3 linked regions of the Tribolium castaneum genome follow. The protein of the gene in region 3 interacts with the protein of the main gene of each other region in a biochemical or structural test. Links are inferred from orthologs where the notes say so. Each region holds a gene or a part of one and is shown on either strand. Other genes may lie near its edges. The genes, in order: HDAC3, Rack1 and hypoxia-inducible factor 1-alpha.

Region 1 (4,355 bases), on a different chromosome or scaffold from region 3:
TCTCTGTGTTAGGAACGGGAATTTTTCTGAAATTTACTCTAACGGAGCTAAATGTAAACCTTACAGAAACCCATTACTTTTTCCCTCTTCTTGAGGAGGCAATTTTTTTTCCTCCTCAAATTGTCCTATTGCCCTAGTGTTGTTTTTCCAGTTGTTAATTTTCTACTAATTACTTACTACGAAAGTTTATACAAAATAAATTGTTCATCCATACTTTCGACGATCTTTAAGAAATTTATTTCTTAGCTCTCTTAGCTATGAAATGTAAAGAGTTATAGGCTGTAGCAGATTTTTTGAGAATATCCCTATTAAAGTGGGTAATTTATAAATTAGCAACAGTGAAAAATTAGCCAATTATTTTGATAAATATTTTTCTGATGTACCAAAAAAATTGTAAGTGTAATTAAAGTAATCTTTCTGGTAGGTTCCCAGATATTTTAAAAATTGTCGAAATAATTCCTGTATTGTATATTTGGATAATAAATTGATGGATTGATCAGAAAAAAATAATAATAAAATAAAAAAATCAAACAATCATTCGCAATTCGGGGACTCACTCAGTCGCTCATTGGCCACACTGATGTCATAAACGTCCACAGAGCCCCCTTTGGCCGCCTGATTGCCCTGCTGCGAGATGGAAAAATTGCGATAAACGACACGTGCCCCATACGCGAAACAATCCGAATCCTGACTAATAATCCCATCGACGAGCTAAAACAACCCCTTGAACCTTAGAAAAAAAAATATGTTTTTACCCCAGTTTCATTCAATTGTGCGCACAAAGCCTCGGCCTCGCCCTCCCCAGTCACACACGCAAGCCCCAACAAACTCAACATCTCCTCGCACCGTTTCAACGTGTGATTAAACCTCGACCTGTCCTTGGTCTTGGCCCCATTTTTGGGCTTCGCCCCTTTGAACTGCAGGGCATTGCGGGCGGCGATCGTCTTGTATTTGAGCTCGGGGGCGCGCCCCTCGAGCACAAACACCACATTTACGTCCATTAGGAGCAAGTAACAAGTGCGGAAATACAAATTTCTGGAAAAAAAAATCAAAATTTTGAACCGGTGTCAGTCACCTAACCTCAAGTACATGCGGGGTTGCACCGTGTATTCGGTCACGTTTTGCGACTCGCACACCCAGCACGACAAGTCGATGGCCACGGTCTTGCCCTGCAGCTCGTAGAGGGGCTTACGCTCCCCGAAAGGGGCCAGAAGCGTCCACAGGTCTTTGATGCCCATTTTCAAACTTGGGGATTTTGGTTTTGGAGTTGGTGACAAAGTCTCGACGAAAATCGGGGGATAAAACGCTTAAAACAGACTCAAATGGGCAAATTTCGTCTTTATTCTCAAAAACAACATTGCGTCCAGAGTTTTATTTGTGAAATATGTTCTGTAATTAATGATAATAATCTTTACGACAACACCATTTCTTAATGGGTGTTTTTGCGTCGTTCGGTTGGTAGTGAGGCGCAGAAACGTCACGTTTGTTTGGGGGCTGTTTTATCAGAAACCACAATGGGGGCTATCCGGAAGCATGCCGGAGGATAGGTTTTGGCTGACGAAACGCCTTGTTGTTATAGTTTTGTTTTTGTATTTTTTGTACGTGTGGAAGGAGCTATCGGCGTGATGTCGAAGCACCGAGTGTCTTACTTCTTCAACCCTGACGTGGGGAACTTCCACTACGGGACGGGGCACCCCATGAAGCCCCACCGCCTGTCTGTGATCCACAGCTTAGTGTTAAATTACGGGCTGCACAAGCACATGCAGATTTACCGGCCTTACAAGGCCAGCGCCCACGACATGTGTCGCTTCCACTCGGACGAATACATCGGTAAAGCCACCACGGTAATTTCACTTGCCTTAACCCCCACACTTGTAGATTTTCTGCAAAAAGTCACGCCGCAGAACATCCAAGCGTTCACCAAGCATCTGAGTCACTATAACGTGGGGGACGATTGCCCGGTCTTCTGGGGGCTGTTTGACTTCTGCTCCATGTACACGGGGGCGTCGCTCGAGGGGGCCATGAAACTGAACAATAACCACTGCGACATTGCTGTTAATTGGTCAGGGGGGCTCCACCACGCCAAGAAATTCGAAGCCAGTGGTTTCTGCTACGTTAACGATATTGTGATTGGGATTTTAGAATTGCTCAAGTACCACGCGAGGGTTTTATACATTGACATCGACGTGCATCACGGAGACGGCGTCCAGGAAGCCTTCTATCTCACTGATCGGGTCATGACGGTCAGTTTCCACAAATACGGCAATTATTTCTTCCCGGGCACGGGCGATATGTACGAAGTGGGGGCGGAAAGTGGCCGTTATTACTCCGTCAACGTGCCGCTGAAGGAAGGAATCGACGATTCCAGCTATTGGATGGTTTTTAAGCCGGTCATTTCAAGCGTGATGGAATTTTTCCAACCCACTGCAATTGTACTACAATGTGGGGCCGATTCCTTGGCCAACGACCGCCTGGGGTGTTTCTCCCTGAGTACCAAAGGGCACGGGGAGTGTGTTAAGTTCGTCAAGAGTCTGAATGTTCCAACTTTGGTGGTTGGAGGTGGCGGTTATACGCTGAGAAATGTCGCGAGGTGTTGGACTTACGAAACTTCGTTACTTGTGGATGAACAAATTTCAAATGAATTGCCCTACACCGAATATTTGGAGTTTTTCGCACCCGACTTTACCCTACATCCTGAGGTGGTCACAAGGCAGGAAAACGCAAACAGTCGCCAGTATTTGGAGGCCATTACTAAGTAATTTTTAAATTGATAAGTATAAGGGAAAAATGACGAACGTCATTCAAAGAAAAACAACTTTTTTTAGTTAATTAGTTTTAATTTTGACTATGGAGGGCTATAACTTGAGCTAAAAAAATAGTAAAAACTACATGACATTATTAGTTCAAATTCTTGAAAAGTAGTTATTTCCTGTTTTTCCCCTGTACTCTTCAATTGAAGGTTGAACAACTATACCAGTGGCGCAGCCAGAGATAGAGTTTATGGGGGTTTACCTTCGTAAAAATATGTTTTTCATTAGTAAACTAATAACGACGCAGAAATGAAAAATGAGCTCTTTACCTGCATATGATTATTTTAGTTCCTTGTAGCACTTAAAATTAACTAAAAATAAATATGTTGCTGAATGTTTTTTCGGAAATGTTGTTCGGGGCAAAAATAATGTAAAAAAAATTGTCTTAAATTCAAGGTTATTTGTTGTATAGCTCACATTTTGTAGCTACAAAAATTATTAAGAATTTCACACAAAAAGCTTTATCTGTCTGTTTCCTGCCTTATTTTATAGGTGGTAATTGTTTTAATATTTTTGTTTAAGTGTTTCTATTTTAATTATTTTCAAAAATATATGCAAAATAATCGGTAAATAATATTGGTATTTTTTGTTTTGTGTAGATAATATTATTTTTTTTTATTTTTTTATTATTACCAGAAAGATAAGGGAGTGTACCTACTATCAAAAACAGTAATCTGTTAAAAATGTCGGTTTTCATAAAAAATAACGTCATTACTCAAAAAGTTATTTCTACCATGGTATCAGAAATGTAGCATTTATTTTACAAAAAACCTCTCCGAAGATTTTTCTGAAATATAACGAAAATATGGATTTTGTGGGTTGCTTTTCTCGGAATTTTCGGAAGTAGAAAAAATCGAATGTCTACAATGATTGTCTGGAAAGTTTTGTTTTATTACTGCAACTTAAATTATTTTGCATGATTATGTTCTCAACCCCCAACAATCTCCCTTGCTGCGCCACTGAACTATATTAAGGAGGTCTGAAGTGGAACTGAACGCAAAATTTGAAATTGAATTTTTATGAAAAGTATTGCACAAAATAGTTTCATTACAACTGGGTGTTGTTCTAACGTTGAATCATTCCCGAGTTTAAAACGGTTAGAAACGTGATTTGTTTATTTTTCTATAAAAAAATTAAGTTCAAATAATAATAATAATTTATGAAAAAAAAAACATGGCTTAAAATTAATTTTTTTAAAGTAGAAGTTATTTTTAGAACATAATCTTTTACCAAAAAAATCGCCATAGGAGGAAGCCATTTGAAAAAAAAATTAATAACACGTAGACTAAAAGAAATTTCAAAAAATTTTATTCTTAAAAAATTATCACATTTTTAAAGTAGTCGATGACTTAATAATTAGTTTTTTCGTAAGGTACATAGTTTAAGCATAAAATGCTTGGTTCCATACTTTTGCCCAACGTTGTATATGAATTTGAAAAAAAAACTTCTATGTCATTAAAAAATAAAATGAAAAAGCCCATTTTTTGGTCATTTTTTTTTTATTAAAAAATGGTACATAATTTTTTGATAAATTTTATTAGGAGT
Region 2 (4,163 bases), on a different chromosome or scaffold from region 3:
ATTATTAGAAATTAATAAGAAAAAACGAGAATATTAAATGAGTAATTTATTTTTTAAAGTTTGCCAAATAAATAGATATTTTTTGTAGGTATTTCTAAACATATCACACAGAAATGAACGTTTGCTATTAGATACATTAGTAGCTTTTTTACAATTGCTGAATAATATTCATTAATAACACTTAATAGCTAATATTAAATAATGGCTAAAATATTTTTCAAACCCCCAAAAAGTTAACTAATTTAAATTAAATGGCTCTTGTACAAGAAAAAAAATCACTTGTTAAAGCTCAACTAAAGAGACGGTTAATTAAAAAAAAATATAGTGTAAAATGGCGTGTTATATGCAACCTAATAAACACAAAATCCAACAACAGACGATATATACGCGACCACCAATACACATTTGTGTATTTGGTGAAATACTCAGTAAAAAGTTACTTCATAGCTTCATTCACAGGACATCATAATTGGATTTTTAATCAAACAAAAGAATTTGTTTTCATAACTTTATTTTGTAAAAAATACAACTTAAATCTTATAAATATGTATAAAGAAAATAATATAACTTATTTCCGGATTTATTTATTATTATTATAAAAAATACATCAAGAATTAGTGGGCAGAAATGCTAACTTGCCACACCCTGATAGTATTATCAGAATAGCCAGCAAACAAAGTTTGCCCATCTGTCGACCACGCAAGCGAAAGACACTGTGGTGGTTCAGCCTTGCTAAGCGGTTGCGAGACAACTTCTGGTCTAAGTTCCTCAACCATTTCCTTGCTCTCCAAATCCCAGATCTTGATAGAGGGTCCAAAAGCGGCACACAACCAATACCTTTAACAACGTTCTTCTTAAACAAATCCTAACAAACGAAACGTTTGAATGCTTCAAGCAAAAAAAAATCAGCCCCATATCCGCTAACCTCTCATAGCCAATCAAGTGGTTAAGTTTTGTGTCATCATTTCACAATCACACCGAAATAATAAATCACATCGATTATTACCTGTTTGGCGAAAAGCACAAAGCCGTGATGATATCATTATGGTCAAGTGTGTGCAAGTGTTTGCCATCGTTAAGATCCCAAAGCATTGCTTTGCAATCTTTACCGCCACTTGCACACAAGCTACCATCAGGAGAAACAGTCACAGTGTTCAAATAACCGGTGTGACCTGAATGGTTGATCTTGAGGCGGCAGTTGGTCAAGTTCCATACTTTGACCATGCGGTCCCAACCCGCCGACACGATGATGGGGTTCGAGTGGTTGGGCGAAAATCGCACGCAAGAAACCTAACAAAAAAGCTTAAATGGCAAACTTCCTTTTTCTTCAAATTTACAATTTCATTCACAAAACAAAAACAATAAACAACTAGGCACTGTTTTCAACAATATTTCCGCTGATATTTCTATTTATCTTGATGACATTGCACACGTAACTCATATTTTAAAGCTATTTAATAAAAAATTTCATGCGAGACACAAATTTAAAGTTTATACAGATAAAGAAATAGCTTCTAATAAATATTTAATTAATTTAATGTCCATATCATCCATACCGTCAGAAAATGTAGATTATAAAAAAATAGTCGCCACCCTTTTTTTTCAGTAAATTTAACAACTTTTAACAAGAAAAGAAAAAACATATCTACTACTAATAATGCAGCACTCGCCGTGCTCGTGTTGTAAAGAACTCACGTCGGAAATTTCTCCGAACACTTACCCAATCAGAGTGGCCATCGTCCTGGATGGTATACTTGCACTCGGCCAAAGTGTTCCACAATTTGATGGTCTTGTCGCGGGATCCTGACACGATTTGGCGGTTATCAACCGAGAAAGCCACACTTAAGACATCCTAAACAGATACATTTTTAAGTTTTGCGAATGATTGCTAACACACCCATTGGTAGGACTAGCCTAATATGTCTCACGATACTTACACAAGGGGGCCCAACAGTCAACTTCAGTCGCCGTTAATACAAAAAAAACAAAAAATCTTCCGACTGTTGCAACGTGAGATATCAAAACTGTAAAACGGTAAAAATGTATGTTTCAAACCTTGGTATGGTCCTCAAATCGACGCGTTGTTTTCCCAGCAGCCAAGTCCCACAAACGCAAGGTCTTGTCCCATGAGCCAGAAAGGGCGTAATTACCGTCGCTCGACAGGACAACGTCAGAAATAAAATGGGAATGGCCGTACAAACGCTTCTGGGGCACCCCGTAGCATGTCTCGTCACGTGTCAGTTTCCATACGATCAAAGTCTTGTCTAAAACCAACAAAATCGGAAATTATCCACGGGAAACATGCTCCCGAAGGCCAATTTGGCGAAATTGGGGCAAATTTCAAGCGGATGGTTGCGTAATTCACCAATAAATGGGGATTAGAAAGGAGATTATGGGTTAGAATTTGGGTTCTTACCTCGAGACGCGGACAAAATCAAGTCGGGGTATTTGGGGTTGGTCGCAATTTGCGTAATCCAGCCGTTGTGCCCCAAAAGGGTGCCTTTCAATTGAAGGGTTTCGGACATTTTTCAGAGGACCTTCCTCACACAAGACCGGCTCAAAAAGAAAAGGGAACGGAAGAGAGAGGTGGCTCTGCAGTTGCCAACCGAACAAAAACACCCATTACGCAACGAAAAGTCACTATTAGTCACTAGATTAGCTAACCACACCGGTTGGAGGGCCTGGATTTTTTTACGTTTTGCATAATTTGAAAACCAAACGGTTTTTACAACTTTGTTGTAGCCCCTCATTACAATTTGTGCAAAAAGTGGTACTTGAACATTTACAGTTTCCTGTATAGTTGGTTGTACTTCAAGATTTTTTACCTTTGGTCATTTCTAGTACCAAATTTTTGACGATTTTTTTGTGGAAACTGCGTTATGTCACACCTTTTATTTAATTTATCATGTTTTTTGTTATTTGAACCGGCCAATCAAGCGGCGTGGGCAGGGCCTGGGAAACAAACGACCTTGCTTGAGTAATGTCAACAAAGCGTCAAACTGTCTCTTACAAGCAATGAAAAGCCCCCAAACGCAAAAACCGATTAAATTTCGAACTCCGACGTCCGCTGTGTCAATATTATGCGACAAACCGCCCCAGGTAAAATTCTGTCCGTGATTAATGGAGTTCGATTTGAGTTTCCCGGTCGGTGGTGTGAGTGTACAAAGCCGCCGCTAGAGGTCTTATTAAATCCACCACATAATCGCCATTTTGGTGTGTTCATCCGAGAATAGATAAAAACTAAAATAACGAGTAATTTATGTAGAGAAACAAACCGAATTTCGAGCAGTTTAGTGTAATTATTTATGATCTAACTTATTTTCGTGTGTATGACCAGATACCGCTAGCAATGGATGATAAAGCGTCGTGTAAAGAACTGGATCAGTGGATAGAACAGTTAAATGACTGTAAGCAACTATCAGAAAATCAAGTAAAGACACTATGTGATAAGGTAAATATCGCCCCTTTGCCTAGTTTTAGTCCCTTGAATCGATTCGTGTTCGCTCCAATTAACGCAATTAAAGTGTTTATTTTAATTAGCACCGCCAGTTTACTCCTTATTTACAGTCCTGGTTACGTTATCTCTAATAAAATAAGCACTTTAGATCCTTGGAGCCCGATCTTTTATCAGATCCTCTCAAACAAACCACTGATTCATACCGATGATTACGAATGAATCAGTGGCGGCTCGTGGTTAAACCAGGTGAAGAGCTAACGAAATTCAAAATTTACAACCAAATTTCATGTTTTCCAATTCAAAGTCATAAACACAAGCATTCTATCATTCCTAATATGGCCAGAAATTTCCAAAGATGACTGAGAAACTTCACTAAAAAAGGTGACCTGACTTGACTTGACCTGACCGAGCTAAAATTAGGTTATGTTTTTTCTGTCGTCATCAATGAGTCATCGTGTGATGTCATTTTTTCCCTGTTCCAGGCGAAAGAGATCCTGTCGAAGGAGTCGAACGTACAAGAAGTGCGATGTCCTGTAACCGTGTGCGGGGACGTCCACGGCCAATTCCACGACTTGATGGAGTTGTTCAGGATAGGAGGAAGGAGTCCCGACACGAATTACCTCTTCATGGGTGACTATGTAGACCGTGGTTATTATTCGGTGGAGACGGTGACACTCCTAGTAGCTCTCAAAGTTCGATATAAAGA
Region 3 (3,651 bases):
GATAATCCTGTAGAGGTCTCTAGCCCTTGTCGAAAATTTCAATATTTTTCATTAAATTTTTCACAATCAGATTCCAGCATCGTCCTTTAATAAAGAAAATTTTTCTAAGTAATAAATTATATTCATGTTTCAACATTCCTACGACCATATGAGTCAACAAGATGCTTATGATTTTTTTTATAACTTGAATCTTTCAACATTTCATAAATAAAAACACCGAAGCCTTTTAAGTAAATGATTTTCTGTGTGGACAGAAGCCTATTTGTTGAATTTGATCCATTATCTGGATGATTTGATAATTTTAAAATTATCACAGACCGCAATAGTAACACCGAATTTTCATTAAAAAAAATTAAATTTTAACTGATGAAAAAACTCCAACCATTATTATTTTATTGATGCATAAAACATAAGTACAAAAAGCTATTATTACGAAAACTGAATTTATTTTTACGATGAAGTAACAGGAAACGACAAGCAACATTAGATCTGACATTACTCCTCTTTACGAGTTGGCATTCAAACACAAAAAATACTGATTAAAAGGTTAAAGATGTACTAAAGTTTCAGATTTTCTAATCCAACAAAAATGCAACTTTGCGGTGAAAATTCCGTAGGAAATGTGCTTACACACACCTTTAATTAAAGCTGGATGTAGCGCTAAAAAGTTCATTTGAGGGTAAAAAAGGAGTCACTCTTACAAATATCTTTTATTTTCTTTTACAACATGAGCATATAAACAATATGCTTAAAAAATAAATACACAATAATTAATATAATCTAAAAATAATCTTTATAAAAGATTATACATATCACTGAATAATTATTATTGCCTTAACAATAACAAGAAAACTATTTACGATAAATTTATTACACTTTTGACCAAGACCTAGTCACACCGTTGCTCAAAAGTGCGCACAATTAACTGCATTTAATTCGTTACATGGTGTTTCGTTGTTAACAATTTGTACAAATCTATTTTTGTAAAATTTTAAATACCTTCGAAAACATTTAGGTGACGTTTGTGAATACAATGTAAGCGTCCTTACTACAGTCTCTACATGATATGCAAAATAATGAACGATATTTCCTTGTTGTTTGCTGAAATTAGTAACATTTCCGCGAAATACAATGACAGTCAAAGCTTTCTGTAACACCGAGAGTTAAATAGTGAAAATGGGTTGAAGTGGAATGTGGTACATAAATAGAGAGCTTCTCAGATAGTGTTTCCTATCACAGACAATACAGTACGCTGTCTCTAATTATTACTTTTGCAAATTATTGGCAGTAGGAGTAATCTGTTTGGTCTCCCTGATTTCTTGTACTTTGGCAACTCAATAAAGGCATTTAGTTAGGAAGGAGACGCACGGTTTCAAGGATAAGAAAAATCCACTCGCTTTCATAAGAAAATATATCTCTCTTTCCCTCCCGCTATAAATCTAGATTCCCTTTTGTCCTAAACTGAGAGCACAGCGTACTCCACATTGAACATTTCACTTCATCTTTTGGACTTGGAAGGGGTCAGGCAGATGTAGCCGGCTCGAATATCGAAGCCGCTTACCAGAAGGTTCATCAAGACACTGTCACTCGGCTGGCTTATGCAAGCCGCCTTCTGGCCGCCCGAGTCGAGCAACCAGTTGCTCTTGCCCTTCGGGCGGCCCCGGTGGTGGTTGGTTGACATTAACTGCTGCAAAAGCTCTGAAGACATTTTCTCTTTAGGCTCGTTTCGCGACCGCTTTGTGTTTGACTCGTAATTTGAAGTGTTCGATCTTTTGTTTGTTCGCTCTAACCGGGACGATATCGACGACGACTTTCCGTTCATTGCTGAATCTAAAAGCAACAATCAACAAAGTTCGACCAAACCCAACGACTTTTTACTTTTCTTGTTGTAATATTCGTCCACGTCCATGAGCCGATCCGGCGAAATCAACCCTCCGCCGTGATCGTTCGGACGCGAGTGTTTGTTTATCGAAGAGCACAACAACTGTGCCAGACTCGAGCTACTGTCGGGCGAAGCTCTCGACTTTTCGCTGCTGCTCCACATGAGATCGTCTGACATCAGCAGGGGCAGATCGTCGCCCATGTTCATCGTGATATAGGGGGCTTTCGCCACCAAATCCGACTCGTCCTCTGTGTGCAAATTCATGAACGTTGACAAACGATCCTCGTCGCTTAGAGAATCGCTCGGACTATTTAACGAAGGTAAACTACACTCCGAATTCTAAAAAACATGGCATTGAGACTTGCCGATTCCTCCACCGATCCCTAATAATACCTTTGAGAGATTCGGAGATAATAATTGGGGAGAATTATCGTAGGAATCTCTGTACGAAATGAAAGGGTCGGTGGGTTCGTCGGTAAGCAGCGGCTCAAAATTATCTCTGAGCAAGAAATCGTCCAACATCTTGTCGGTTAAAAAGGGGTGATCGTCTAGAGGAACGCAAACGTCGCCGGCTACTGGAGCCAAATGCGTCAAATCGTCAGGCTCGTCCTTCAACACTGTAAATAAGGAAAATTCATTTAGCACATACAGAACGCCAGAAACCGAATCACAGCTCTGATAAAAACATTACAGTTCGACTATTTATATTATTATTATAAATTATTCCATTATGATGATACTAATGTCAAGGCTTCCACGCTATTTATCGAGTTAATTGCTGATTGAAACTACTGGCTCTAAATTTAGAAAGAAAGCACGCAGCCTTGCCAGAAAAACACAATAAAGCCGCTGTTGTCCAAACACCCAATATTTGCGAATTTTTACAATTATGTAACGTTCACATGATTGCGACCTTCGGCGGCCCATTACGAATTATATAATGCAACTGATGAATTTTACGCGCTTCATTCGAAGAATGGAAAACAACATACACATAAACGTCATTTATCAACGTAATTTGTGTCGCAATCACACATATTCATGAATTATGTTAACTGATTCATGTAAGTAGATAATAAATTCGAAGCGACCACGATTGATAAAAGCAATGCAAAATGCAAGTGACGCCTTGTTTAGAACTTTACTCCTGTTGCGGTTATTTTTCCCTTCGAAAAATGCAAATCACGGCATTATAATTATTCAACAATTATGTCCGACATGAATTTCATTGCGTTTCCAAGAAAATAATCTCGGTGAGCACGACGGAATTTTTCGCATCCTTTTTGGCACTTCTCACCTTGAAACATTATGCACATTAATTGGCACAACAGTGTTAATGAAAGTTGCAAAGTTTGATTTGAAAAAAATTGGCCGTAAACTCGAACAAGATGAAAAGTAAACAAACCAATTATAAAATTCCAATTGTTAAACAATTATCTATTTAAGTATAATAATACAAATTAAGGCAAATATGCATGTGGCTCTTCTTATCACTGTGTGTTCTTTTATTGTTTCTTTGATGTTTATTTTCGTTTCTTTTTGTCTTAATTTTTGCACCTCACTAGGTGTGTGACTTGTCCCCATAGACGTGTAAGTGATAACGTGTCACTTGGAAAATATTGAGTGCAATTATAGTACAACCGACTTGACATTTGAAATTATGTAATGAACACTCGTCTAAATCTGTTGTAAGTTGTTATTAATACAGTTGATAACCTCTCTCCAAATAAGTCTTGTATGGTATTGGCCGATAAAGCCTTAACTGTAGA

Evidence for each region.
Region 1: the proteins of hypoxia-inducible factor 1-alpha (region 3) and HDAC3 form a complex in vitro, tested with the Homo sapiens proteins (2 studies listed by BioGRID). The link is inferred for Tribolium castaneum from reciprocal best matches to the Homo sapiens genes HIF1A and HDAC3.
Region 2: the proteins of hypoxia-inducible factor 1-alpha (region 3) and Rack1 form a complex in vitro, tested with the Homo sapiens proteins (2 studies listed by BioGRID). The link is inferred for Tribolium castaneum from reciprocal best matches to the Homo sapiens genes HIF1A and RACK1.

The regions. Positions count from the first base shown.
Region 1 is NC_087401.1:11,246,677-11,251,031, reverse strand, and holds the start of HDAC3 (histone deacetylase 3), read left to right. Parts: upstream 1-1,463; 5' UTR 1,464-1,625; coding exon 1,626-1,830; intron 1,831-1,878; coding exon 1,879-2,755; intron 2,756-4,355. Other genes in the region: flap endonuclease GEN, read right to left, coding at 558-711, 756-1,035, 1,081-1,238. UniProt on the Homo sapiens protein: Histone deacetylase that catalyzes the deacetylation of lysine residues on the N-terminal part of the core histones (H2A, H2B, H3 and H4), and some other non-histone substrates.
Region 2 is NC_087399.1:653,538-657,700, forward strand, and holds Rack1 (small ribosomal subunit protein RACK1), read right to left. Parts: upstream 2,596-4,163; 5' UTR 2,526-2,595; coding exon 2,417-2,525; intron 2,265-2,416; coding exon 2,056-2,264; intron 1,853-2,055; coding exon 1,721-1,852; intron 1,291-1,720; coding exon 1,007-1,290; intron 838-1,006; coding exon 615-837; 3' UTR 565-614; downstream 1-564. Other genes in the region: mts (serine/threonine-protein phosphatase 2A catalytic subunit beta isoform), read left to right, coding at 3,016-3,099, 3,338-3,451, 3,940-4,163. UniProt on the Homo sapiens protein: Scaffolding protein involved in the recruitment, assembly and/or regulation of a variety of signaling molecules. Interacts with a wide variety of proteins and plays a role in many cellular processes.
Region 3 is NC_087396.1:19,203,175-19,206,825, forward strand, and holds part of hypoxia-inducible factor 1-alpha, read right to left. Parts: intron 2,500-3,651; coding exon 2,276-2,499; intron 2,222-2,275; coding exon 1,879-2,221; intron 1,831-1,878; coding exon 1,562-1,830; intron 1-1,561.